Linked DNA regions of Mus musculus. The protein of the gene in region 5 binds, or shares a complex with, the protein of the main gene of each other region. Links are inferred from orthologs where the notes say so. Each region holds a gene or a part of one and is shown on either strand. Other genes may lie near its edges. The genes, in order: Taf4, Taf5, Taf7, Taf11, Taf8, Taf13 and Taf10.

Region 1 (3,500 bases), on a different chromosome or scaffold from region 5:
AGTGCAGTGGTGTATTTTTAAGAGTCTGTGTATACGCATGTGCACACATACATGTGCACAGGTGTAGGTACTACTTACGGTAGCTCATTTTAGATGATTTTTAACTTATTTTCCAGGCTCCAGGAACACCTATTATTGCACGGCAGGTGACCCCAACTACCATAATTAAGCAAGTGTCTCAGGCCCAGACGACGGTACAGCCCACTACAACCCTACAGCGATCTCCCGGGGTACAGGTAAGAGGATGCAGCCTAGTGCATCAGTAGGGATGCATGGCTGACAATGCATGCTTTTGCTTCGATGTAAACACTAGGCTTTAGGGTACCAGGTTGAATTTGAGGATGCAGGGGGTCAATGAAGAAAGTGATTTTTCTGTGTCTGAATGCAGGCTACATCTTTTCCTTATTTAGCATTGGCAGCATTCAAAAGCTCTTTATAAAATGTAATTAGGAACGTCACCTCATTAATATTTGACTCAGAGCATCTTTGAGGAGGGAGTCTGTGCTGAGGAGAGTTTGTGTCTGTGCTGTGGCCCCATTACATGCTCATGGACGGTGCTACTAGTGTGTGTGCAAGGTGTCCTCTCAACTTCCTGTGGCAAATTTGTAGATGAGCTAGGGAGGGGAGAGTGGGGGAGGGGCATTCTCCCTAGCCTTGCTTTCCTAGTGTCAGTGCTCCAGGGAGCAGCAGGGGAGTTACCTGCAGACCCTGGCCTTACCTGATCAACCTGTGCAGCTTCTAGCGTATAAAGCCAAGGGGAGCTTCCGTGCCAGGGGCTCCTCCTTGCAGAGGCTGAAGCAGATGTTAGGCGTGGTGGAAAGGACTGGTTAGGGAGGGCATAACATGTTTGCAGAGATGTACTTGGTGAAGACACATCTGATCAGGGAAACACTTGTAGGGAAGATGTCATTGGCTGGGGAGGCAAACATTGGTTAGGGAAGCTCACTCTCTGGGCACTCATTTGGGAGTAGGTGGGAAGCAAAGAGCCTCAAAGGCTCCTGATGTTGAGTTTGGAGCAGTCATACAGTACAGGGCTTTGAGCTCTAACCACGTTGGATTCGTGCTCACTCATACATGATCTTAGCTGAAGTGTTCCTGATTAGCTGCACCTCGTCCCAGTGGAGCCTGAACTGAGTGAGGGCGGTCCACACGGGGGCTTCTCTGAACTTTTCTGAACTCAGCTCCAACTTTTCTGAGTTCAGCTCCATTTTCTTCAGTAGCTGTGGAGAGCAAGAATATCTTGGAGAACGGTTCTGTGAGTCAGGAGAGAGGCCTGTGTGTTTCAGAAGCTGGAGTCTGGGAGACCTGCGGTTTCCTGAGGGGAACTTGTAGTGCTGCCTGTGCCTGACTCCAGCGTCTGCTTCTCTGAGGAGGAGGAAGAGGCTCTAGAAGCTACTGAAGTGCTTGGTAAATTGTGTGTCACGTTTTAATGGTGACAAATGCTTTGAGGTTAGTGGACAGTTTACAGTCAGGGTGAGTGTGTCCCTTGCCATAGCTGTCAGCTGGAGTGAAGGAAAGATGGCAAGAAGGGTCTGAGTCCTGCTGTCCCTGGCTTGTTGAGTCAACTCTTAGTTTGTTTTTGCATATTATCTTCACATGTTTTGGTTTGGTGGGCAATACGTGCTTATCATACAGAGACAATTATCACCCCTGAATCTGTTGCCAGCTGCAGGGTAACTTGGGGGCCAAGAGGCCTGGAGGTAGCTTAGTACTTGTACAGCTCTCTCATAAGCACCTGTGGCTGGGATCCTCCAAGGCTTTCTCTAAGGGGGCTGAAGATTTGCCTAAAGCTGCTCTAGAGCTCTCCTTGGTGTGGGTGTGAGATGTCACACTGCTCCCTGCTTTCAGATGAAGGGAGGGGACAGTGTTTAATAAACTGGAGTGAGGAAATGTGGGCAGCTAAATTTGTAAATTGGAGAGGTAATAATGTAAAAACCGGTAAATATTTCATTGTGATTATTCAAGAATAGAGAAATCTTAGGAAAGAGACTAAGGGTCAGTGGTTTGGAGAGTCTGAGCCTGTTGACATCTAAGTGCCCATTTGCGTTGCAAATGTTTTATGTTCGGTCAAGGAGTACCTTCCCACAGCTGGGCCAGTGCCTGTGACCCAGCTCTTATACCTGTGCCTCTGCATGCTGTGGCTTCTCGTCAGGCCTTACTTTTGGAAAGCAGAGCTCGTTAGTGCAGGTACTTGTGGGGAGTGGAGGCCTTTCCCTTGTCTTGGTGGCCTGTACGGACTCTGGCAGATGCTATGTGCTGGGAGGTCACAATTGCTTTCTAGCCAGGGCTCTATGAACAGATTAAAGGGTTCTCAGGAGGAGTGTCTGAGATGACAGCTCATTGTGTATCCAGTCCTCTGTGCTTGTCTCTGTGGTAGCCGTTAGTCAGTGTGACAGATTCTGGACAGTGACAGGTTCAAGCCCCTCAGGTTTATTGTAGATACAAGCATACCTCCATGTGTCTCTGTGGGCCTCAGGTGCGGGGCCAGGGATGCCCTTGGCCACCTCACATGGCTGCAGGAAGGGTGCCTACCTGGCCCTTGTTGAGCCATTTGCTCCCTACGTTTTCAGAAGCTGTTTTACTTTTGGGCTTGTGCTGCTGTTGCGATGCATTCACCTGTGTTTTGACCTTCTAGCCTCAGCTGGTTCTGGGTGGCTCCGCACAGCCAGCCTCACTTGGAACAGCCACAGCTGTTCAGACAGGGACACCTCAACGAACAGTCCCTGGGGCCAGCACCACCTCTACAGCTGCCACGGTAAGAACTCCCTTTGAGACGCCTATGGGCAAAGCCATTGGTATTAGTGGGGAAATGGAGCTGGTATATACAGGGGCTTGAGAATATTTTGGGGCCCACAAGCCAACCAAGAGCAGTGGTGCATTGAAGGGACCCACGTGAGAGCTTGGGTCTGTCTTCCCCTTATGGGGTGACCTGCACATGCTGGCCTCTGAGGAATGGTAGGAAAGGGCCCTGAGCGTCCTACTTGGGATCTAGGACCCTACAGAGACCTGTGGAAGCCACATATATGTAGCTGCTGAGCACCTGTGGTCTGGGTGTCTGTCTGTCTATCTGTCTGTCTGTGTTTGTCTTCACTACTTTTCCTTTATGTACCTGGAGTTTTAGAGAAGCTGGGACCCTATTTTGCAACTTCTCTTTTTGTATTCTTTGCCAAGTACTTTTAACCATTTCCAGGAGCTGCCTGGGACTTTGTGTGCTTGTGCACATTTAGGCAAGCAGCAGCCCCTGTCCCGACGTAAGGGCAGTGTCTTGGTGGATGCAGCCTTCCCTTAAAAGGGCTGGTTGAGAGACGCAGACTTGGTGGCCTTCAGAGTGGCTGATTGCCCTTCAGAGAAGATTATGGCTCATGCAAGAAGTAGTGTGGTTTTGAAGGAAGTTGAGATGCTGAGTTTACATTTTTCAGACCTGTACACATTTCACTGCAGTGGGGTCCTGTGGGGAAATCTCCTGTAACTTACACCTGTTTTATTTTAATACAGGAAAC
Region 2 (3,500 bases), on a different chromosome or scaffold from region 5:
AACTATTATGGCTTGTCTGCCTGCTAGCCTCATCACAGCCACACATATACACAAAATAAGCAAATGTAATACAAAACTAAAAAAGGAAAAGATGCGTGGTTGTGTTGCGGAAGAGAAGTAGAGAGGACAGGGACAATTCTGAGAAACAGTCGTCCCTGGGGCCTTAGCAAAACCTCATCTGCTTGGTGCAATTAGATCATTTTCTTAAAAGTTGTCATTCATTTTTTAAACAGTTGCAAGTGTAGCTGTGGAAGACCAGCCAGACGTCAGTGCTGTCTTGTCGGCCTACAACCAACAAGGAGACCCTACAATGTATGAAGAATACTACAGTGGACTGAAACACTTCATTGAATGTTCTCTGGACTGCCATCGAGCAGAGTTATCCCAACTCTTTTATCCTCTGTTTGTACATATGTACTTGGAGCTAGTTTATAATCAACATGAAAATGAAGCAAAATCATTCTTTGAGAAGTATGTGAATCTTAACGTCTTTATCTATCTATGTATGTATAAGCACACACATCTGTAACCACACAAATGTAAATCAGAAGGACAGGTGCCTTGGGCAGCATGAACCTGACACACAGGCAGGATTGATCCTCCAGAGGAAACAGTCCTGAAACGAGAACTGAGGAAGGGCTGCTAGGAATTAGCCAGTGGAGGAGAAGAGCATACCTGTAACTACAGAGACGGAAAGAAGCCCATAGCAGCTGAGGCCAGTAATGTGCAGGGCTGTGGTACAGCGTTCAGTTGGGAGCAGCAGGCAGGTTCTTGCACTGCGTTGAGGATCTGTGTCATAGGAATAATAGGGACTTACACTGGATAAGACTAGATTTGATTGAGAGTCACTGAAAAACTCAATGATTATGAATAAAAACTGGATTCTGAGAGCAGTAGGAACTGTGTTAGGATTAGATTAGAAGATGACTAACAACGCAAACAAGAGGCTTAAGTAAAACGTCAGTTTTAGGGCTGATAGCTAAGTCCTCAGTCATCGGCCAGTGTTCTTGTCAGGAGCTTCTCTTCCAGGCACAAGCTGGTCCTCTGTTGGACAGCAGTCCAAACGCTGTTCTAGTCAGCAAGAAAGGCACACGTTCCTGGGAGATGCTCACACTTCTTTTTCTAACTTTTTATCAGTGACCATCCCTAGCGACAAATGTAGGAAATGCCATCTTTCCTGCGATCTTCCCCGAGATGTCTGTCCCCAGCTAATAGTCAGGTGTTTTGTTACGGAGGAAGGGAGTTAAAATGAGCATTTGGGCACAGTGAGGCATCTCTGCTATAGATGTCATTAGAGGATCATTCATTAATTGCAGTCTTTTTTGTCCTTTTCCCTCCCCCCCCCCCCCCCCCCAAGAGCTGAGGACCAAACCCAGGGCCTTGTGCTTGCTAGGCAAGCACTCTACCACTGAGCTAAATCCCCAACCCCTTTTGTCCTTTTCCTAAAACAGGATCTTAGTGTGTAGTCCTGCCTAGCCTGGAACTTACTGTGTAGACCAGGCTGACCTCAAACTTGCAGAGATCTGTTGGTTTCTCCCTTCTGAGTGCTAGGGTTATAGGCATGGTCTCTACCTCCCCGCCCCCCGCCCACCCCAGAGTATGCGTTTTAAAAGGCTTTTTTTTTGCAGAGGCAAACACACGGTGAGGGACAGGACTATTGGATGACTAGAGTGAAGTGCTTCTTAATGGTGGTGGCAGTCCTCTTTCCCATAGACACCTAGAAATATGTTGAGGCATGTTTGTTTGTCATAAATACCTGTTGGGGAGGAGGGAAGAATAGTAACTATTCTGGGATGTATAGATAGTCCTACTTAGCAGAGAATTGTCTTGCCCAATATATCAGTAATACCGCTGTTGAGAAACAGTCTGCTGGTGAAGTGAAAGGCAGACTGACCCCACAGTGCAGGGATGGACATTGAGGTGAGACACCATTGCCAATGCAGATTTCTGGGGTGTCCTCTGGAGAAGGACGACTTCCTGACAGAAATCCCCGGAGGAGGATGTGATGTGTCAAGTAGAGGTACTAGTCTGTAGTTCCAGTTCAAGTGAACTTTTAAGTAATTTAAGAATCCACTAAGAACCACTAAGCGCATGTAGCATGGTGGTGCACAACTCTGATCCCGGCACTTAGGAGGCAGAGGCAGGTGGGTCTCTGAGTGAGGTCAGCCTGGTCTACAGCTTGAGTTCCACAGAGAGAAACCTTGTCTTCAAAACAAAACAAAAACAAACGAACAAACAAACAAACCTCAACCTCAAACCAAAAAAAAGAAAAAAAAAAGGTAAAAACCCCCAAAAATCCCCAGTACTTCCAAGACAGGTCTGCCAACAGTCCAGTCTAATGTAATCCCGTTCCCCTATATAACAGCTGAGAGGAGAGGAGCACCTAGAGCCATACATTGGCTTGAAGAGCTCCAACATTAACAAGTATAGGATACAGAAAAGGAAAAGGTGGAGAAACATGGAGAAGTCCCGGAAAGCATTGTTACAGATGCCAAGGGGGCAGGGTTGGGCTGACTGAAGGCAGCGCTTCAGTGCAAGCTACAGAGCTTGAGGTCAGGACTTGTGGATAACAACTCCTGAAAGCTATTATCCACTCTTTATACTCAGATTCCTAATTGAAGGTACTGAAAGCAAACTGTCACTCCCTCCCCTTTCTTTGTCTGATAATAACATTTCTACACTAGAAGCCTTTATTTTAATATATATATGTATTAATTAAAGAGACAGGGTTTTTCTGCATAATAGTCCTGGCTGTACTGGAACTTTCTCTGTAGACCAGGCTGGTCTTGAACTCACTCTGCCTCTTGAGTGCTGGAACTAAAAGCATGTGCCACCACCACCCAGCTTAGAAACTAATTTCTTTTTTTAAGATTTATTTATTTATTTATTTATTATATGTAAGTATACTGTAGCTGTCCTCAGACACTCCAGAAGAGGGAGTCAGATCTCGTTACGGATGGTTGTGAGCCACCATATGGTTGCTGGGATTTGAACTCCTGACCTTCAGAAGAGCAGTCAGGTGCTCTTACCCACTGAGCCATCTCACCAGCCCAACTAATTTCTTTTGTAGTACTGTCATCAGTCTTGCTCCTTCAGTCTCCTGGGATAGCCACCTTTCCATGTAGGAAGATGGGCTGTCATAAAAGGCTCTCTGTTCCCATTACAGACAGTCTGCTAGGACCCCATGCCCAAATGAGGGCAAAACAAGCCAAGACATAAAAACAAAAGTATATTTAAACTATAAGTTATAACCAAGACTGAAGGCTTTATTTAATTGCCTTGGTAGTAGTGAAAATATGAAAGTGCTCATTGTTTAGTACCAGTATTTGTTCTTTAGTTTATCATTATTAAAATATTGATATTTAATATGTCTTAACATAAGTAATTAAAATGTATAGGCTTATAAGAATATATGTTCTGATTATCATTGAGTCTGTGATAAGTACACTGAAGGCATACTATTTTCTATTCCTATGTTTGAAATGTTTTTAATAAAAAAG
Region 3 (4,262 bases), on a different chromosome or scaffold from region 5:
CACTACTGACTCCATGATGAAAGTACCATTCATCACATAGACAGTGTGATGGGTATTCCTGCCTGTCAAGGTGACTATATCTGGAATGAACCACAATCCAGAAATGGAGGGCACACCAATGATTCAGGTCTTGAGGCTGGAATCTACATGAAGATCTTGAGGCATAGTGGCCATAAAAAGCTTAGGTCCATGCAAGGTAGTATACACCTTTAATCCCAGGAGACTGAGGCAAGCAGATCTCTTATTTCAAAGCCAGATTTGGACAAATCAGGTTCCAGATCCATGAGTGGTGGTCCACACCTTTAATCTGGGCAGAACACTCTGCTGCAGGACATTGGAAGAAGGAAGACTCACTCTTTGCCTGCTTGCACTTATTTGCCAGCACATCTGCTGCTACCTACGTCTTCAGGATACAGAAGACCAGGTGAAACAAAGTAGCCTCTTGGGACTTCCCATTTAGAGCTGCCCATTGTTGGGTGGCTGGACTACAGACTGCAAATCATTACAATAAATTCCCTTAATATATAGGCATTCCACAAGTTCTGTGACCCTAGAGAACCCTAACTAATACAGACAGTATCAATGAGCAAAATAAATAATAAAGACCTAATTTATCAAACTTCATAGTTCTGGGAAAGTCTCTAAATGTACCAGCCTTGCTTTTTGGCTTCTGTAGGTCAGTCTCTAGCTTATGGTTCTTGTAATAAAAGTATGCCAATGCAGGACATTTGTTTGTGCTTAAAAGCTCACCATGACAAAGTCTCAGGGCCAACTGGGATCCAGAACACCCAGTGTAGTCACTGGCTAGTTAATATTTGTTGGCTTAAACCTGTGTCTGAACAGCGTTCTTTGGTGGACATTCCACAACAAAATCAGACCGTTTGTGTTTCAGACAATTCTGTTCTAAATGAACCTGCGTCATCATAAAAACATTTGTTTACAGTTATAGCTATCTGACATATTACCAAAATATCGTATCATACATATCACACCTGGTCCTCTGGATCCAAAAACACAAATGAAGCCAAAGGCTTAGTTCCTTTCAAGGCAATAAGCATGATTTTTCGCGTTAGAGAGTGAACAGCAATACTGTATCATTTCACTGTTTGGGCCACTTTTACTTTGTGTTGTTTCCAATGTTTTAGCGGAGGCCGACTGGGTACGCCCTGGGAAGTAAAGATGCTTTCTGCAGGGACGACCTTTATCTCTGGTAATCACTCTAGAAACTGTCCCGACCCGCGACTTCGTAAAGTGCTGTCTTACGGGGTAAGTTTATGTTTTACTTTTTTGGAATCTCCATCTTGCATTTCCAAAGCAAAGCTTTTCTGGAAACAGCCTATACAGGGCAAGTTCTCACGAGAAGACGTAGTCACGGAACGACGTAATTACGAAGTGCGCCTGCGCGCGCCGCTAGTACTTCCGGAAGAGCGGCGGCCAGCCCCTCCGTGTCTGCTTCCGGTCTGTGACGTAGCGCCGCGTCTGCTTCCGCTCTGACGGAGCACTTTCGTTTTCTTCAGTGAGAGGAGACGTGGGAAAGTTGTCTCCGGTGTTCGGTTCTCTGAGAGGGAGCTTTCGCGCCGCGGGTCCTTAGCCGTCTCATTGTTAGCGCATAGGTCGCCCTGCCGGGCGGCCGAGAACGCCAAGAAACCGGAAGGCGGACGCACCGCTCCCTGCTGCTTTGCTCAAGCCGCGAAAAGCTAAGTTCACAGTCGCTGGTGAACTGTAAGTACCGGAGTCGAAGAGTTCGTTCACTCCCTTTACTTATTCTTTTTCTTTAATACTTTTATTTTATATCTTATTGGAGAGAATCTGTGGATCGGGGTTGTCTGCCAGACTAGACTGACGGTCTGTGCCTAAAACCCCTCAGTCGCTGCCGTTTCTTTTGCTGTTCAGGTTATCAGCAGCGTCTTTTAGAGGCTCTAATATGATACTGCATCTAGCAGACGAGTGAGTTTAACAGGGACAGTGCCAAAGTTTAAAAGTTTAAAGACTAGACTTGGGACTTAATTAAAAAATTAAGACAAAATAGGCACTAGCTTGCGTTCCACTTTTGTTGCTGTTTTCCTTGGAACTTGGTAATTACGAATTTAAAATTCTACTTAATGACATTGCCCCCCCCCTTTAATTGTTGTAGGAGCTCACAAGGAATTAAAGATGAGTAAGAACAAAGACGATGCGCCTCATGAGCTAGAGAGCCAGTTTATCTTACGACTGCCCCCAGAATATGCCGCTACGGTGAGGAGGGCAGTGCAGTCTGGGCATGTCAACCTGAAAGACAAACTGAGCATTGAGTTACACCCTGATGGGCGTCACGGCATTGTCAGAGTGGATCGAGTGCCCTTGGCTGCAAAATTGGTCGATTTGCCTTGTGTTACGGAAAGCTTGAAAACCATCGATAAGAAAACCTTTTACAAGACAGCTGATATCTCTCAGATGCTTGTAGCCACAGTAGATGGTGACCTATACCCTCCTGTGGAGGAGGCAGCTGCCACTGCTGATCCCAAAGCAAACAAGAAAAAAGATAAGGACAAAGAGAAAAAGTTTGTTTGGAACCATGGAATTACTCTACCTCTAAAAAATGTCAGAAAGAGACGGTTCCGGAAGACAGCAAAGAAGAAGTACATTGAATCTCCGGATGTGGAAAAAGAAGTCAAGCGTCTGCTGAGTACAGATGCAGAAGCTGTCAGTACTCGTTGGGAGATAATTGCTGAAGATGAAACAAAGGAGACAGAAAATCAAGGCCTGGACATCTCTTCTCCAGGAATGTCTGGCCACAGGCAAGGCCATGACTCACTAGAGCATGATGAGCTTCGAGAGATATTCAATGACCTCAGCAGCAGCAGTGAAGATGAAGAAGACGTAAACATCCTTGACACTGAGGAAGATCTGGAGAGACAGCTACAAGACAAGCTAAATGAATCCGACGAGCAACACCAAGAAAATGAAGGAACCAATCAGTTGGTTATGGGAATTCAGAAGCAGATAGATAACATGAAAGGCAAGCTCCAAGAAACCCAAGACAGGGCAAAGCGCCAGGAAGATCTCATTATGAAGGTAGAAAACCTGGCTCTCAAGAACAGGTTTCAGGCAGTTCTGGATGAGCTCAAACAAAAAGAAGACCGCGAAAAGGAGCAGCTTAGCTCTTTGCAGGAAGAGCTGGAATCACTTCTGGAGAAGTGAGCTTGTTGACTTTAGTCCTTAGACTAGTCAGCTCAAGAAAAAATTATTTTCAGAGTAAGGTCTTGAAATACTTTTTTTTTCTTTGAAATGTTCTTATTCCCTGAGTTTTGTTGAAAATTTTTTGATTGTTTTTCAGAACTATGGTGGTGGGTTTTCATTCTTAAGAAAATAGGATTACATAGACAGGTTTGTTGTAGGGAAGATATAAGAAAGATGAGTGAAATGAAAACACTTGAACTTTTAATCACAGGACTTTATTACAATTTGTTTCCTAAAAGTTTCTAGTCCTTTTTTTTTTTTTTTTTGGTGCTAAGATCAGTAATAAGCTAGCCTACAGGCAGTGAAGTTAATTTCTTTTAAAAGAAATATATTTTTTTTTACCTCAGCAAGTTTCCATGTTACAGAAATGCAAGTTTTTCATAAAGGTTGTTTCTTATACAATAAAAGCTACTAATTTTCACTGTTTATGATGTTGTTCTATGAATACTGAAAGTTGAGGTGGTTCATGGAGTTTAATGACTGAATGGTGTAGATCAAGATAAATCCTGTTCTTTTGTTTTTAGGAAAAGGAAAGCACCAGGTAAGGAAATGGAGAAATTCATTGTTGCATTATATATTAAGGTTCAGGTCCACCCACTTCATCTGGAGGTTTATGAACACTGGGTCTAGAGCCTTCTTAAACTATCCTAGTTTTTATGGATGGATATCTGTATCTTTTTCTTAAGCACTAAGGTTATCTGTAAAATATTGGAAGCAGTTATCAGATAAACTATTCCACATGCTTAGATTAAGATTATATTTTAACTATTGCCAATTTAACTGCTACAATTATTTAATAGACTGATGTTTATTCATATTGTTTCATTAGTATTTCCCAGTATGAAAACCTGTGTCCTGGTCTGGGATTTTAAAATTTCATATACAGAGAAAAATTCTGTGTGTTTTTTTAAATACTAAAAAGCTGCCCCTAGGCAAACTAAGTATGAATTCAGAATGGAAGTCATCTGGCCCCTTTCATTGAGAACTTGCCTTCTGTATTGCTGTTGACGGCTGCCAGAGCCTCTGAAGCCCTAACTAGTCTG
Region 4 (4,249 bases), about 20 Mb from region 5:
GGGGAGCCTCGGTGTGCGGAGCCGAGCCTGGCGCAGGCGCGGTCTACGCCTAGCGGACCCGCCCATTCGCCAGGTGGCGGAGATCGGAGGCGGCACGCCTGCAGGAGCTTCCCGAACTGCTCGCCTTCCCAAAGGTTTGGGACCTCATGGCACTGGAAATGCGGTCATTGTTCCTGGCACCGTAGAAACAAAAGAAAAGGGGGTAACGCGTACCTCTGTTTTCAACTCCATTCAAAACGCATAGATTCAATACGGGATAGGCGCGGAGATCTAGAACCAGACTTGAAAAATCCCTCCCTCTGGTGCCTCCTGGAGGGAAGACCTGAGAGTTTTACTTCTGCAGTTAGACTGGCATTGTGGCAACTGCCATTTGTCCCAGCAGTCGAGAAGCAGAAGCCGCTGGCTGCATCGCTGTGAGTTTAAGGTCAGCCTGATCTACAAAGCAAGTTACGGGCTAGCCAAGGCTACATAGTGAGACCCTCTCTCCAGAAAAAAAAAGGTGGGGGGGGGGGAGGGAGTACGGGGGTGGCTGGAGAGGTGGTTCCCTGTTAAGAGCACTGGTTGCTCTGCCAGAGAATCTAGGTTTGATTCCCATCACTTGTGGCGCCTCACAGCAGTCTGTAACTCCAGCTCCAGCGGATGTAACACCTTTTGCTGGCCTCCCAGGGTACCACGAACGCATGTGGAGCTCAGACTTACATGCAAAACACCCATACACATGAAAAAAAAATGTAAGAACTCTTAACAGACACTATCCTCGCACTCCATCCTACTAACTCTTCAGAAAAAGTCAGAAGAGACCTTCTTTCTCTTAGTTGTCATGAGAGACATTTTAAAAGTCAGATTTGGGGAACCATTTCCAATTTTTAATATTGGTGGACTAAGGAGGGAAATGTAATTGGGAAAGGATGACTTTTTTTTTTTTTTCTGTTTTTCCCTCACAACACTAGCCTGTTCTGACGCGAGGCAGGTGGCCAATATTTGAAGTGTTAAATGAAACCATTGGATACTTTCTGTTGGCGTTAGAGATGCTTGCGAAACAGAAGGGAAACTTCCCTGGTGGACACAAGCCGGTGGTCTTAGTTCTTTGGGAAATCCGAGGTTAGGTCGCTGCCGGAAGCTGCTCAGTCCACGGCAACAACAAGCAGCGGGACCGAGTTCTCTCCCTGTTCCCCGACTTTGGGCTGAAGGAGTAAAGTTAAAGAAGGGTTAATTGGCATTACATTCCCAGGAAGGAGAAGAAAAAGAAGGAAAAAGAAGTCTCTCGGGAAACGAATTACGCTCTTTCAAAAACGCTTCTGCCCTGAAGCGGAGGATCTAGACTTCTACATTTCTTTCACATTAAAACAAATTCCGTTTATATGAATCCCCTGGGCAACCAACGCGCTTCTGGAAGTGACCCCTCCCAGGATCCGTGGGCGTGACGTCATCGCGGCGCGACGACGAGCCCTCAGCTCCAGCTCCGCTCCACAGCTCCTTCTCCCGGCGGTGCTGCCATCGCCTCTGACCCCCTGCTCTCGCGATGGACAACCTCGGGGAGTCGCCCACAGACAAAGGCGGGGAGCCAGGGGAGTCAGAGGAGACGAGGGCTACTCCTGGGGCTTTGGTGGCAGCCGACACTGAGGGAATCCCGGAGGAAACCGACAGGGATGGAGACGCGGACTTGAAAGAAGCCGCGGCGGAGGAAAGCGAGGTAGGTGGAAGTTGGTGGATAACGCTGCAGGACTACCCGGGTGCGCTCCTGACTGCTTTCTTCCAAAGCCAGGGAACTAGAATTCCCCCACGACTGTTTGTGAGTCTGCAACCTTGAGGGGCAGGAGAGGGAACGGGAAGGTGTAGGTGCTGTTAGAGCCCTATTCAGGCCTGCTTGTACTCCAGCTCCTTTTGGGGGAAGGCTGAGGAGGAAGGTGGAGGAGACAAGAAGATAAAAGACGAGGAGAAAATGGTTAAGGACAAATAAATTTGAAAATCTGAAGCACAAAGGTTAGAAACACGCGTAGATCAATAGTGGAAAGTAAGTTAGAAAGGCTGTCAGATAGATAATGCCTTCTCTCCCCCTCTCCATATTTCTGTATGAGTTTAAATATGAATTCCTTCCTTCCTTTCTCTCTTTCTCTCTCTCCCTCTCTTTCTTTCTTCTCCTCCTCCTCCTTCTTCTTTCTCCTCCTCCTTCTCCTTCTCTTCTTCCCCTTCTTCCTCTTCTTCCTCCTCCTCCTTCGAGACAGGGTAGCCCTGGCTAACCTGGAACTCAGGTTCTATAGACCACACTGGCTTCGAATTCAGAGATCCCCTTGCCTCTGACTTCCAAGTGTTAGTATCAAAGGCATGTGCCACCACTTCCCGACATACCTTTCATTTTAAAGGAACCATTAAATCTCATTAATGAGTTTTGATGTATTACGATTTTATAGTAAGTTGGCTAGGACAGAGTTTGGATCACTCTTGTGAATAAAACGGTTAAGTGTTTATGTGAGGAGAAATGTAAATAGTAAACATCTTGAAGACGTTTTTAGCTTAGGGCAGGCGAAATTGTTCAGCAGGTCAGGGTGCTTGATCCCCAGAACCCACGTTAAGGTAGAAGCGGACTATCTGCACAAAGTTGTCCACTTACAAACCCACACACATGAATGTCCGTAGTAACTGAAAAATTGTGGGTTTTTAAGAATATTTTTTATATGAATGTTTTGCCTGTGTATTTTTGTTTGCCGTGTAATGTGCCTGGCACATTCCCTGTAAAAGTCAGAAGAAGGCATTAGATCCCCTGAAACTAGAGTTGCTAATGACTGCGAGCTGAAATGTGGGTGTTGGTAAATGGAACCTAGATACTCTGCAAGAACAGCCAATGCTCTTAACCTCTGAGCTTTCTGCAGTTTTTAGTTTAAACTCAATATAATGGTACAAGTCTATAATTTCCACAAGCTGAAAATCCAAAATGAGACTTTGTCTTAAATTACAAAAGGAAAAAAAAAAAAGCTTCCGAACTGGGCATGGTGGTGCACAGCTTTAAGCCTAGCATTCTGGAGGCAGAGGCAGGTGGACCTCTTGAGTACAAGGCAGCCTGGACTACTACAGAGAGAGTTCAAGGATAGCCAGGGCTATGTATAGAAACTCTGTCTCAAATTATTTAAAAAAATAAAATAAATAAAATTTGTATTCTAGTATTGGGAAAGATCTCGTGATCCAGTAGAGAAAGGATCAGAAGAACAGAGCTCTGTTCAGTGTGGAGCTCCCAAGACACACATGGAAGGGACTGTACTGACATCTATGGAGTGAGGTCAGAAGGGTGGGCCCGAGGGAGAGTGGCTGTTTGGATCCTTGGCATTTTCCTCGTAATGTGTAAACAGATGCAGGACCTCTGTATGATCATGGCTAGGCTGGGAAATGGATTATTCATTTTCTTTTTTGTTTTTTGTTTGTTTGTTTGGTTGGTTGGTTTTTCAAGATAGGGTTTCTCTGTGTAGTCCTGGCTGTCCTGAAACTCACTTTGTAGACCAGGCTGGCCTCGAACTCAGAAATCCACCTGCCTCTACCTCCCAAGTGCTGGGATTAAAGGCATGCGCCACCACCACCCAGCGGATTATTTATTTTCTTTCCCAGCTGGAGTATAATCTTCCTTGGAGAGATGGATTGCCTCTTATGCAGATGGTATAGGCAGTGCCTAGAACTAGATAGCTACTGCGTAGACAGAGTTGCTGGGCTGGAAAGAGGAGGGTGTTTGCTGGCCTTTCCCAAACCTGAGAAGTGTGCCGAGTACATAATAAGAGTTTCTGTCCATCTCTCCAGCTCAAGAGTCAGGATGTCTCAGATGTAACAGCAGCCGAGAGGGAAAACTCGTCCTTACTTACTCCTGCAGCCAAAAAGCTGAAACTAGACATTAAGGACAAGAAGGAGAAGAAGCAGAAGGTGGACGAAGATGAGATTCAGAAGATGCAGTGAGTCACAGAGGTCCCCAGTCCAGGCTCTAACTCCACTCTGTACATTCATGCTTACTGGCTTTTTTGTGTGCTTTTGAGGTAAGGGCTCATGAGACTTAAGCCCTTAGCTCAAAGGTTTCAACTCCTGATCTTCCTGCCTCAGCCTACTTAGTACTGAGATCATAGGCATGAGCTGCTATGCCTGGATATAGTTTCAGGCCAGCAAGATGCCAAGGAAAGGTGCTCACCACTGCTCGCCACCGAACCTAATGACCAGGGTTTAATCCTGGGAAACCGCGTGGTAGAAGAAGGAATGAGGGCCTGGAAACTGGCCT
Region 5 (3,500 bases):
TTGCTGAGATTTGAACTCAGGACCTTTGGAAGAGCAGTCAGTGCTCTTACCTGCTGAGCCATCTCCCCAGCCCCCCACTGTAGCTTCTTTACACAACAGGAAAGGGCATCGTATCCCATTACAGATGGTTGTGAGCCACCATGTGGCTGCTGGGAATCGAACTGGGGACCTCTGGAAGAGCAGTCAGTGCTCTTCTGCTGAGCCATCTCTCCAGCCCCATATAGGAGGTTTTTGCCTGCATGTGTGTCTATGCACCACATGTGTGCTGGTGCCTGAAGAAATGGTACCAGCCTTCATGTAGGTATTGGGAATCAAACCGGGGTCCTTTGTAAGAACAAGTGCTTTTAACCCCTAAGCCAGCTCTCCAGCCCTCGAAACATCTTTAGAAGTTTAAAACCTGCCTTTCTGTCAGGAGGAGCTGGTTTTGGTCCTCTCTGCCACTGCATTGTAAAATACGTTGAGGTCCTTCTCATCTTACTGGATTCCGAATATCTCTCTGAGATGCTCAGCAAGGGGCTAGCATGCCAGAGTCTCCTGTCCTTGGCTCTCTCAGTTCTGCTTACAATTACAGCATCAGTCTGGTTTTCTCTCCTTGTTTAATATTTACACTTATTTCCTTTATCTGTGTGGGTGGGCGCTCATGCACAGTGTGTGGCTTGCATGGATGGGAGGCAGTCAGAGGGGGTGAGGGAGTTGCCTCCGCTTTGAGCCATGTCCTGCTGACAGCTCAGGTGCTCAGGCGTGGTGAGCGAACGCCTTAACCTGCTGAATCTCACCCTCAACCTGTATTTCCCTTCCCTCCCTCTCCCTCGTCCCCCTCTCTGCGTCCCTCCCTCTCCTAGAGCAGGCTGGCCTTGGCCTCACTGATACCTGTCTGGATATGCCACCAGGGCCAGTATTCTGTGCTTCCAAGGGAAGTCTTTTGGACCAGTGCGTCTGTTTGGAGAGGGTGGACTTAAGACAAGGGGATGGTACTGCATGCAGATGCACATGGGCCACCACTCATACACTGTAAGGTTCCAAGTTACTCTGGTGGCATCGAGGTTCCTCTTAGTGCTCCTTGAGGGGTCCAAGCCGTCTTTGAGGATCTGTGTCCTACACCTAAAGCTAGCTGCCATGGAAGCCAAGCATAGACACAGTCAACTATGTAGTAAATACTTGCATTTTTTTAATGAATGTTTGTATACTGAGATGGTCCTCTGTTGTCTGCTGTCCTCGGAAGGACATAGCTGCAGCAGGTCAGGGCCTGAGGAGAGCTGAAGGGGGTGGGAGCTCAGCCTGGTATCTCTGTTCTTCTCCTAGACATACCGTGAGCCAGTGTCTGACTACCAGATCCTTCGGGAGAAGGCCGCATCTCAGAGACGAGACGTGGAGCGAGCACTCACCCGCTTCATGGCCAAGACAGGCGAGACCCAGAGTCTTTTCAAGGATGATGTCAGCACTTTTCCTTGTGAGAGCCACCCCTCTGAACCCTGTTGTTTGAGATAATCACACCGTCTTTCCTTGCTCTCAGTGAGGTGTGGAGAGATGAGCATGCCTTTGTGGCTTTCTCTAGTGCACTTTATTCTTCAGCTCTATGGCTCCTTCCTCCGTATCCCAAGAGCCTGTTCCTACCCGAGGATTCCCAAGCAGAAAGCCTCTCCTATGTTGTCTGCAGTGAGTTTAGGTTAGTTCACGGTGGCTGAGGCCTCAGCAGCAGAGAAGTGTGGAAGTGGTGTCTACAGCCAGTTGCCCATCACTGTTCTTTCTTTCATGTCACAGGAGGCTTTGCTGACTGTCTCACTTACCTCTAGGGGACCGTGTGTGGTGTAAATCTGAGTGGGGAGATTGGCACATTTATTCAGTAAGCACCCACTCAGTGCTTGTTAGGTGCCTGGCTCTGCAGTCACTGGGGACAAAGATCAGCAGGTGCTAACTAGCCCCTCCCACAGCACCTCAGCCAGCCCTTCCAGACCCGTGAGTTAGTAACTCTTACAGAGGCATAGGGAAAGGGAAATTCCTAGCTCAAGGTCATGGCAACTGGGCAGCACTCAAACCTGGCTCCCTCTGGCTACTTGACAGACTCGAGTCTTTCTTCCACTTCCCAGTGATCGCTGCCAGACCGTTCACCATCCCCTACCTCACGGCCTTGCTTCCTTCTGAGCTGGAGATACAGCAGATGGAAGAGACCGACTCCTCGGAGCAGGAGGAGCAAACAGATACAGAGAACAACGCTCTTCATATCAGCACGGTGGGTCCTCCCCTTCTGCCTGCCTCACAGCAATCCCAAAACAGCCTGTCCCACATCCTGCCCCTGCCCCTAGGAACTGAACAGGGCCTTCCCCAGGTCTCTGGCTGGCTGTTACAAGCTTGCATGATGGGCTGTGTGTCCAGTCTCCATCATGAGACACACCTCCTGGGGAGTCACACATTCAGCAGATGGTGAACGAGCACTGTAAGGTCCAGACCCTGGTCCTGGTCTGAGGAACTAGTGTGGAGCAAGACAGATAAAGCCCCGCCTTCAGGAACTAAAGAGACTAGAGATGGAGCTGTGGAGGTGGTGGGGGATTACAGGTGACATTTGGGTAAAGACCTGAAGAGACTAACGCCTGCCCTGCTCATCTCTGGAGTTTCCAGGCAGGGGACAGAGCACATGCAGGGCCAGCCTGAGGTAGAGGGAGCTAACTCCTGGTACCTCCTTCTGTGTTAGACTGCAGACTCACACTTCCATACTACAAAGTACAATAAAAGACTGTTACTGGCACTTGTTACTATTCTGGTAGCCTGCAAAATGTAATCGTGTTAGAATCCTGGTCCTGCCTCTGCCTGCTCTGTGCTGGGATTATAACCCAGTCACATCTCACTCTGACCAGTTTAAACTGCCCCCTTGTGTCCTGATGTGAGGTGTCTCTCACGCCCTTGAGCGTAAGGAGCGAGGTGTTTAGAGCCAGTGCTGTTCTGTTCTGTTCTCTTCTGTCGTGTGAACTGGCTCTCGTGCAGGCAGCCTAGAAGTTTAACCTTTTCCTCTCTTATGAGAAATCTTAGCAATCATGTACTCAGTAAACATGGGTTGGCAGTGAGCATGTGTCTGCCCGGGATACAGCAGTGACCCCAGTATATAAAACCTCTGCCCCCCCTTGAAAAACCTTAAAAAAAAAACAAACAAAACAAGCAAAAACAAAAAACCCCTCTGCTCCCGAGAGCCTGTGAAATCATCCCTTACACGTAACTCAAGACGAAACGGTTCGCGGTGAGGATGGAGCCTTTGCTTCCGATAACAGCACACCCAGGGAGGACCAAGCAGAGGCTTGAAGGAGAGAGGAGAGCCGAACCATCACTGCCGTCAAGGGCCAGAGCAACATCAGTGGTTGGGATGGAAAGACAGGGAAGGGAAGAGGAAGGGAGGGCTGCTGGGATGGGCCCGCTGCTTCAGGAGCTGGGAGCAGAGTTGCAGAGGAGCACCGAGCCAGGGAGGGACACTTGCCAACTTCTGCAAGCATCGTTGATGGCTACGATGACGG
Region 6 (4,083 bases), on a different chromosome or scaffold from region 5:
ACCCTGTCCAAAACAAAAAACAAAAACAAAACAAACAAACAAAAAAAACCCCAGCAAAAATAGAAGAGACATGAAGATTCTATTAAGTCAGTGGGAGAAGCCTGCGAAGATTCCAAATTTTTGTCATCACAAAAGTAGAGCAGTTGAAACTGAACTAAAGGTTTGGACAAGCAGCAGGGTGAATACCATTCCTAGAGCACTTTAGTGTAAGGGTCGTTTTCATATGTCCACATAAGGAGTAAAACCACACACAAATCACGTAACTAGCATCAGTGAGACAGAATGGGAAGTGGTCAGACTTGAACGAAACTGGAAGGTACTAGTGAGGATTTCTGTTATGGTTGTAAGATACAGCCGAAGTTGCCTTCAAACTCAATGAGGAAGACCCTGAACTCAAATTCTCCCATCCCTATCTCTCCCAAGAGCTGGGATCAAAAAAGATTTAGAGAGTTAAAGGCTGATCTTGCAGTTTCTAGAATTTTTCAATCCTACTGTACTCAGGCATTTATAAATCTCTGCCGCTGTACTTCCCAAGGCTCAGCCAAGGAGCCTGGGAGAAGGGATGGAGAGTGCAGTCTCATGGGCCTTTCAGGAATTAGTATGGGCACAACAAGTGGACACCGCTCACCCTGCGCTGCCCCAAGGGCTACCTGTCTGTTTAAGGAGCACCATGGAAGGCTAGTGCACTGTCATCTCCACAGCACACTTCACCACCTTCTTGCCCTGAGCTATGCCTTAGTCCAAAGCCTCAACTTACATCATTTGAAAGGTGGACACAAGAGGGATACAACGTTCAAAATGTCAACTGGGAGCCATGGCATATGCCTGTACATCTAGAGCCAGGGAAACAGATAGGAGAGCAGAAGTTCAAGGTTCTTGCAAGGTTCTTGCAAGTTCAAGGTTATACGCATATGCATACCAAGTTTGAAATCATGCTGGGATCTAAAAACCCTGCCTCAGCTGGGTGGTGGTGGTTCACAGCTTTAATCCCAGCACCCAGGAGGCAGAGGCAGGCAGGCACATCTCTGTGAGTTCAAGACTAGCAGATCTTGATCTATTCTAAACTCCAGAAAGAGTTCTAGGACAGCCAGGGCTACACAGAAAAACCAAGCCTCAAAAAAGGAAAAGAAAAACAAAAACAAACAAAACAAAAAAACCCTGCCTCAAGGAGGAGGGCAGAGGTGATCACATTCATTATTTTATGTCACACAGAGAGAATTAGTAGACATGAGAGAGACTTATACTGACCATGGGATGCACACCTGCAATCCCAGGACTTGAGAGGCTAAAGCAGGACTACCACCAAACCAAGGCTAGCATGGGCTAAACAGTAAGCACCAGTATAGCCTTGGCTATACAGAGCCTATCTTTAAAACAAACAAACAAACAAACAAACACCAAGAATAAAAACAGGCAACCTTATAGGCAACTCTGAGAACACTGTCCCTATAAACAAACATATGCAGAACAATATACTCTGAAAAGACATGTTCAAAAGCTTTCACCACCTGTAATAAAAACACTAGAAAGTACAACTTACATTCTTTCGAGAAAAGTCTCTTTCTCTTCCCCTGGCCACCTTCCGCTCCTCCTCCAATTTCTTCATTCTCCTCCTCAAACTAGAAATTTTAAAACACGGACATGGCAAATGATTGCAGTGCACGTGATATTCCCTCGAGTCTCCTCCTGCTCGCCCTCTTTGTGGAGTGCTGTGAATTGAACCCACGAGCTCACGATGCTAAACAGATGCTTGACCACTGAGCTACACCTCCTGCACTCTTTTCATCTTTTTTTTTAAAGGCATTTATTATTTATGTGTATTGTGTGCCTACATAAATGTGCCTGCTGTTGCCCATAGAGGCCAAACTAGGTCTAATCGCTGTAGGTTGCCAGATGTGACAGCAAATGCTCCTAAGCACTAAAGCTATCTCTCTACACTTTTTTTTTTTTTTTTTTTGAGACAAAGTGGTCTCACTATGTGCCCGTGTCTGCCTGAACTCACGGAGATCCGCTTGCCTCTGCTCCTGAGTGCTGGGATTAAAGGTGTGCGCCACCACGCCCAGTGACCCTTTTTCATTTTCGAAAGTGAGAAGCTAAAGCAAACTGCACAAAACCACGAAAATTTAGCACCAAAGGGCTCATAAGCCCTAGTCCAATTCTCAAGTCGTGCAAGAAGGCTTTTATTACGGCTGCTAACAACCTTACAACCGTGCGTGTGTAAAGTTCTAACGACCTCAGGTTCTGGGTTTGGTTTTAGCCAATTTAGTTGTCACACTGCTAAGCAAGACTACTGTAAAAACCTGGTAGTTTAAAATCTACTCTCTGCTGTCATCGGAAGCAACTGATAAAGGGCTAAGAACTTTCCTTAACTGGGCTGGACTCTACCTCACAAGAAAACCGATGCCAAAGGAGAATTTGGATCCCAAGCTTCCTGTCTTTAGTTCATCGTTTCTCCGCTATCTTCACTAGTTTTGTCAGCATCTGGGCTGCTGGTTCCGCTTTAATCAGCTTTGATCTCCTATGACCCTCTAGATGTCTTAGTGTCGGGAAGATCCAGGTCAAAGAGAGACCCTTTCTACTCTTCCTTCCCGTCTTGTCCCACGCACTGACTAAGGTAAACCAAAAAAGGAAAACACCGCGGAGCCCCCGGACTCTCGGCGGGAATCCCTAAGGCACAAGCGGGTCAGACTCTGCCTCCGCTAGTGATCCGAAAGGAGTGAGGAACCAGGCTGAGACAGGCGCTCACTCACGGTGGGGTCTTCCTCCTCATCTGCCATGCTAGCTGCTCGCCAGCCTTCTGAACCCGCCCACCGGCGGCTGGCGAGTTTTATAAGATACGTACGTCACTTCCGGCCTGGCCAGCGTTGCGCAGAGAGGCGTGCGCGTTCATTCTCCTACCCAACCCCGGCCTTGGGATTGGCTGGAAGTCAGTGACGTGCTCTTACGTGTGGAATCCTGAAGGAGGAATTAAAAATTACAAAGAAGCCAGGCGTGGTATACTACGCCGGGAAATCTCTGCACTTGGCAGGCAGAGGCAAGAGGGCTTCGAGTTCGAGATCAGCTCAAGTTTCATGAGCCCATGTCTCAGAAAACATAAGTGATAAATTTGTGCATACTTACGGAGGCTCACAAATGCCTGTAAAAATAGGATGACTTTTTGCCTCTGGGGCTGATCCACTCAAGTACACAAGCCCCATGATATTATATATAGTATCTATATTATTATATAATTATATATCTACTTTCTTTTATGTAAATAGGTGTTTTGCCGGCAAGTATGTGTACCATGTGTGTGCAGCACCAAAGAAGCCAAAATAGAGCAACCGATTTCCTGGAACTAGAGATAGACGATTGTGAACCGCTATATAGGGGCTAGGAATCAAACTCAAGTCTCTTGAAAAGCAGCCAATACTCTTAACCACGGAGCAATCTTTCCTGCCTCCGTTAATACGCAATATATATATGTAGTTTGGGTTGGAAGGTTGTTTTGCGCTTTTTTTTTTTTTTTTTTTTGGTTTTTTCAAGACAGGGTATCTCTGTGTAGCCCTGGCTATCCTGGAACTCACTCTGTAGATCAGGCCGGCCTCGTTCTCAGAAATCCGCTTGCCTCTGCCTCCCAAGTGGTGGGACTAAAGGCGTGCGCCACCACTGCCCGGCCGTTTTTTGCTTCTTCTTCTTTTTTTTTTTTTTAAATTACAAAAGATGTGCTAGAGAAATGGTTCAGTCAATAAAAGCTCTAGCGGAATAAGCCTAAGGCTCAGGTTCAATCCCTGGGACCTGTATAAAAAGTGAAAGGTGAGAAGACAGAGTCTGCAAGGTTGTCCTCTGGCTTCCATACACAATAATAAGAAAATATTTTAAAATTATGAAAGAGCTAAGTGTAGTGGCACTCGCCTTTAATCCCTGCCTTGGGAGGCAGAAGCCAGAAGATCTCTTTGAGTTAGAGGCCAGCCAGGGCTACATAGTCAAAACAAGAAAACCAAAGCTCGGCAGTGGTGGTCCATGCTTTTTGTCCCAGCACTTGGGAGGCAGAGGCAGGCGGATTTCTGAGTTCAAGGCCAGCCTGGTCTACAGAGTGAGTTC
Region 7 (3,413 bases), on a different chromosome or scaffold from region 5:
GTAAGCGCTTCCAGCAGTTTATACAGATAAATAGTAATCTTACCATTCAAGGATCAAAGGCTTTTACCCATATGATGAACTCAAATTCTGAAGCTCACCTTATTCCTTGTAATTTGCAGGTGGCACTGGAAGGCCTTCGGCCTACCATCCCACCAGGTATTTCCCCCCATGTGTGTAAGCTCATGAAGATTTGCATGAATGAAGACCCTGCAAAGCGACCCAAGTTTGACATGATTGTGCCTATCTTGGAGAAGATGCAGGACAAGTAGGACCTTCAGGTCCTTGCCCAAACTCCAGAAGTGTCAAAACATGGCTGGGGGAGTACACTTCTCCAAAGTTAAAGACCTCTGGTTGCCTCCCCTGTCTCTAATCATGGTACTACCCCAGTTATGGGACTTGTTCCCTGCTCCCATCCCTACCACTGTAGCCCCAAAAGGGGCTGGGCTCAGAGCTTTGTCACTTGCCACATGATGTCTCCCAACATGGGAGGGATCAGCCCCGCCTGTCACAATAAAGTTTATTATGAAAACAGGCTCGTGTGGGGACAGAGGGAAAGACAAATACATCTGGGTTGCGTGGCTCAGGTGAAGTAGTGCGGCTTCTTCACATTGATGCCATACTCGCTGAGGGCAGGGGTCAAGTCCTCCATGGTTAGGGTGTACTTGCGATCCTGGGGGAAAGAGGGAAGACCACCAGCTGAGCACAAGTGCAGACTCCAATCCTTTGTGGGTGACCCTGAGCAGGCCCAATACCTCCCCTAGGATTCTGCTTCCCCAAAAGGCTTTCAGGATAAGTTAGGCCTGTACTGCAGTGGAAGGTGAGCCTCTCACACCTTGCTCTTGCTCCGGGAGCTGCCAGAGGCTGTGCCCTTCATTTTGCAGTGCTGTAGGGCATCATTGGCAATATCTGAGATGAATTTCTGGGCAGCTAGTGAGATGAGCCGAATTCTAGAGAGGAAGAGGGTGGTAGTAATGAGAATATTTAGCAAACTCCACCTAGCACTCAACAGTCTAACCTGCTCCGAGTTTACTCACATGCGTGGGTCTGAAGCTTCAAAGCCAGCGCGGTTCAGGTAGTAACCAGTCACTGCATCTGGGATCTGAAAAATCAAATTAAACAGCCATCAGTGTTAGATCTGCCTATTGATGCGCTGGCTGGGACGGAGGACTAAAGAGATAGCTTCATGCCAGGCAGTGGTGGCACACGCCTTTAATCCCAGCACCTGGGAGGCAGAGGCAGGCGGATTTCTGAGTTCAAAGCCAGCCTGGTCTACAAAGTGAGTTCCAGGACAGCCAGGGCTACACAGAGAAACCCTGTCGCGAAAAAACAAACAACAAAAGAGATGGCTTCATAGCAGAGAAAGCTTGAAAGAACGAAGGTGTGGTTCAAAGGCATTGACAGCGAGCCAGGTGGCCTTGTTCAGGTGGGAAGCGCACCGTAGGTGTGTAATCCTCCAACTGCATCAAGAAGTCCACTAGAGGTGTGCTGGACACTACGGGCTTCACTTCTCCGTTGGCCGCGCTCGGTAGGGCGTAAACCCCGTTAGACATTGCCCCCTCCGGGGGAGCCGCGCCGCCCGCTGCCACCGAAGCTGAAGGAGAATCAACAGCACAGGTGAGAGGCGCAGGGTTCCCCTGCCCCGGCACCTAGTCCGAGATGCCCTCCTCCCTCACCCGGCCCGGCCCTCCCTCACCTGGCCCGCGCCGCTCTGCCGGCTCCCCTGCCCGTGCCGCCACGGGGCCCGTGCCCGCAGTGGCGACTCCAGCCACGGGGCCCCCTGCTGTCCCCGCGGGGCTGGCCTTGCTCTCCGCGGCCGTGCTAGTGGGCAGCGCAGCGGGAGCCGACACCAGGGGTGCCGGACCCGCGACCGAGGCGGCACAGGCGGTCGCCGCCTCGGGGTCCGCGCCGGAGCCGCTGCAGCTCATGGGGCCGGTGGGAAAGGCGGCGAACAGAGCCGCTTCCGCTTCCGCTCGCCCAGGCGCACGCTGCGTGACGTTACAGTTCCCGCCCACCACTCTAAGCTGCCGCGGGCGACCTTAGGTTGGCTGTTAGTGGATGAGGTGTAGACTTCAAGGCGGAGGCGAGCTGTGTGAGATGTGGCTGCCACCCTGCGGTTCCACCCCGGCCCGGGTGGGGCCGCAGAGCATCCAGGACTGAATACTTTATCTGGGTTCGTTCAACGACCTGGCTTGGGGACTCATCTGCCAGACACTTCATTACCAGTCTCCTGACGGTCTTCATGCATTCTTTGTAGTTCCCTTTCATGGTCTTTTAAGGGTTGCAGTGGATTTGATGTGTGTCCCTCCCACCCACAACGGGCTTAGGAGAGTACCTCTGTAAATGTAGAGATGGGTGTTTTACCCTGAAGAAATAGCATGCCAAAGTCTTGTGTGAAACACATTTACAATACAACAGACTTTTTTTTTAAACAGTCATTTATTTAATTTCTATTTGGGCTGGGACCTAGGAATACAAAGTTAAGAATCAGATTCTAGTTCACTAGCACCGACTGTCTGGAAAAGGAAGGCAAACAAACTGACAATTTCAATACTGTATGATTGTTTCCCAGCTACATGTAGGTGCAGTGCAAAGAAGAAAGGGAAACTAACATTCATTGCTTAATTCCAAGTGTGAGACATTAGCAATGTTTATTTCCCGATTTTGAAGGCAAGTTTCAATGTCTCTGACTTTTACCCAGTAATCTTTGAAGGGTTTGCACAAATACATAGACTGCTTGGTTTGGAAGATGAGGGGCTTCGGAAGCCTTTCCTCTCCCCAAGTGCTTCCTGCAGTTTAGAAGAAAAAAGAACATGGGCTCAAAGATAATGCAGTATTTTGTGCATGTGTGTGTGTGCACATATGTGTATTTTTGAGACATGGTCTGACTATGTAGGCCTGGCTTGTCTGGAACTCTTTATATAGACCAGGATGGCCTCAAACTCAGAGACTTGCCTGGCCTCTGTCTCCTGAGTGCTGGGATTAAAGGTGTGCATCACCACACTAGCCGATAAAGATATACTTGAGAGGCAGTCAAGAAAACTTTTTGAAGTTAGTAAGGAGGTGAAAAAGATGAGAGTTAAGAGTTATAGGTTTCTGGCTTGTTTGAAAGAGGCATTATATCATAGATTAAGAGATGAAATAGTTTAGGTCTGGGCTGGAGGGAGATGAAGTAACGAGGTATCTCACATTTGAGGTATCACTCACTGTGGGTATAGATGTCAGTGATCTGTCAAGGGATGATAATAAAATGATAAGAGCAAGAAACTAAGAATGGAACAATGAACACAGCATCCCTGGAGTCAGCAGAAAAGGGGGCTGATTAGTGTGGTCAGAGGGGGGTCACTGAGGAAAAAGGATAAATGGGAAACTGATGGAAAGAACAAACACCCAGGTTCACAGAAGCTAGATGTTTG

What was found.
Region 1: Taf8 (region 5) and Taf4 share a complex: the UniProt entries of both Homo sapiens proteins name them as parts of the TFIID basal transcription factor complex. The link is inferred for Mus musculus from reciprocal best matches to the Homo sapiens genes TAF8 and TAF4.
Region 2: Taf8 (region 5) and Taf5 share a complex: the UniProt entries of both Homo sapiens proteins name them as parts of the TFIID basal transcription factor complex. The link is inferred for Mus musculus from reciprocal best matches to the Homo sapiens genes TAF8 and TAF5.
Region 3: Taf8 (region 5) and Taf7 share a complex: the UniProt entries of both Homo sapiens proteins name them as parts of the TFIID basal transcription factor complex. The link is inferred for Mus musculus from reciprocal best matches to the Homo sapiens genes TAF8 and TAF7.
Region 4: Taf8 (region 5) and Taf11 share a complex: the UniProt entries of both Homo sapiens proteins name them as parts of the TFIID basal transcription factor complex. The link is inferred for Mus musculus from reciprocal best matches to the Homo sapiens genes TAF8 and TAF11.
Region 6: Taf8 (region 5) and Taf13 share a complex: the UniProt entries of both Homo sapiens proteins name them as parts of the TFIID basal transcription factor complex. The link is inferred for Mus musculus from reciprocal best matches to the Homo sapiens genes TAF8 and TAF13.
Region 7: the proteins of Taf8 (region 5) and Taf10 are in contact, whole or in part, in a crystal structure (PDB 4WV4), measured with the Homo sapiens proteins. The link is inferred for Mus musculus from reciprocal best matches to the Homo sapiens genes TAF8 and TAF10. Residues at the interface, in NP_612639.2 of Homo sapiens: Arg33, Thr36, Leu37, Val40, Ser43, Leu44, Leu45, Ala48, Gly49, Phe50, Glu51, Ser52, Ala53, Glu54, Ala56, Ser57, Thr60, Leu61, Met64, Leu65, Gln66, Tyr68, Ile69, Ser70, Ile72, Gly73, Arg74, Ala76, Lys77, Cys80; in NP_006275.1 of Homo sapiens: Pro115, Leu116, Phe119, Leu120, Leu123, Tyr126, Thr127, Thr129, Ile130, Pro131, Val134, Thr135, Tyr137, Tyr138, Leu139, Ala142, Gly143, Phe144, Glu145, Ser147, Asp148, Arg150, Ile151, Leu154, Ile155, Leu157, Ala158, Ala159, Gln160, Lys161.

The regions. Positions count from the first base shown.
Region 1 is NC_000068.7:179,935,147-179,938,646, reverse strand, and holds part of Taf4 (transcription initiation factor TFIID subunit 4), read left to right. Parts: intron 1-116; coding exon 117-236; intron 237-2,635; coding exon 2,636-2,755; intron 2,756-3,495; coding exon 3,496-3,500. UniProt on the Homo sapiens protein: The TFIID basal transcription factor complex plays a major role in the initiation of RNA polymerase II (Pol II)-dependent transcription.
Region 2 is NC_000085.6:47,070,748-47,074,247, forward strand, and holds part of Taf5 (transcription initiation factor TFIID subunit 5), read left to right. Parts: intron 1-233; coding exon 234-471; intron 472-3,500. UniProt on the Homo sapiens protein: The TFIID basal transcription factor complex plays a major role in the initiation of RNA polymerase II (Pol II)-dependent transcription.
Region 3 is NC_000084.6:37,641,405-37,645,666, reverse strand, and holds the start of Taf7 (transcription initiation factor TFIID subunit 7), read left to right. Parts: upstream 1-1,462; 5' UTR 1,463-1,722; intron 1,723-2,134; 5' UTR 2,135-2,154; coding exon 2,155-3,180; 3' UTR 3,181-4,262. UniProt on the Homo sapiens protein: The TFIID basal transcription factor complex plays a major role in the initiation of RNA polymerase II (Pol II)-dependent transcription.
Region 4 is NC_000083.6:27,904,945-27,909,193, reverse strand, and holds the start of Taf11 (transcription initiation factor TFIID subunit 11), read left to right. Parts: upstream 1-1,449; 5' UTR 1,450-1,522; coding exon 1,523-1,693; intron 1,694-3,783; coding exon 3,784-3,932; exon of another isoform or gene 3,933-4,013; intron 4,014-4,249. UniProt on the Homo sapiens protein: The TFIID basal transcription factor complex plays a major role in the initiation of RNA polymerase II (Pol II)-dependent transcription.
Region 5 is NC_000083.6:47,492,292-47,495,791, reverse strand, and holds part of Taf8 (transcription initiation factor TFIID subunit 8), read left to right. Parts: intron 1-1,302; coding exon 1,303-1,450; intron 1,451-2,087; coding exon 2,088-2,230; exon of another isoform or gene 2,231-3,500. UniProt on the Homo sapiens protein: The TFIID basal transcription factor complex plays a major role in the initiation of RNA polymerase II (Pol II)-dependent transcription.
Region 6 is NC_000069.6:108,570,416-108,574,498, reverse strand, and holds the start of Taf13 (transcription initiation factor TFIID subunit 13), read right to left. Parts: upstream 2,801-4,083; 5' UTR 2,778-2,800; coding exon 2,751-2,777; intron 1,620-2,750; coding exon 1,541-1,619; intron 1-1,540. UniProt on the Homo sapiens protein: The TFIID basal transcription factor complex plays a major role in the initiation of RNA polymerase II (Pol II)-dependent transcription.
Region 7 is NC_000073.6:105,742,394-105,745,806, forward strand, and holds Taf10 (transcription initiation factor TFIID subunit 10), read right to left. Parts: upstream 1,946-3,413; 5' UTR 1,926-1,945; coding exon 1,694-1,925; intron 1,592-1,693; coding exon 1,437-1,591; intron 1,100-1,436; coding exon 1,035-1,099; intron 948-1,034; coding exon 833-947; intron 671-832; coding exon 581-670; 3' UTR 501-580; downstream 1-500. Other genes in the region: Ilk (integrin-linked protein kinase), read left to right, coding at 120-269. UniProt on the Homo sapiens protein: The TFIID basal transcription factor complex plays a major role in the initiation of RNA polymerase II (Pol II)-dependent transcription.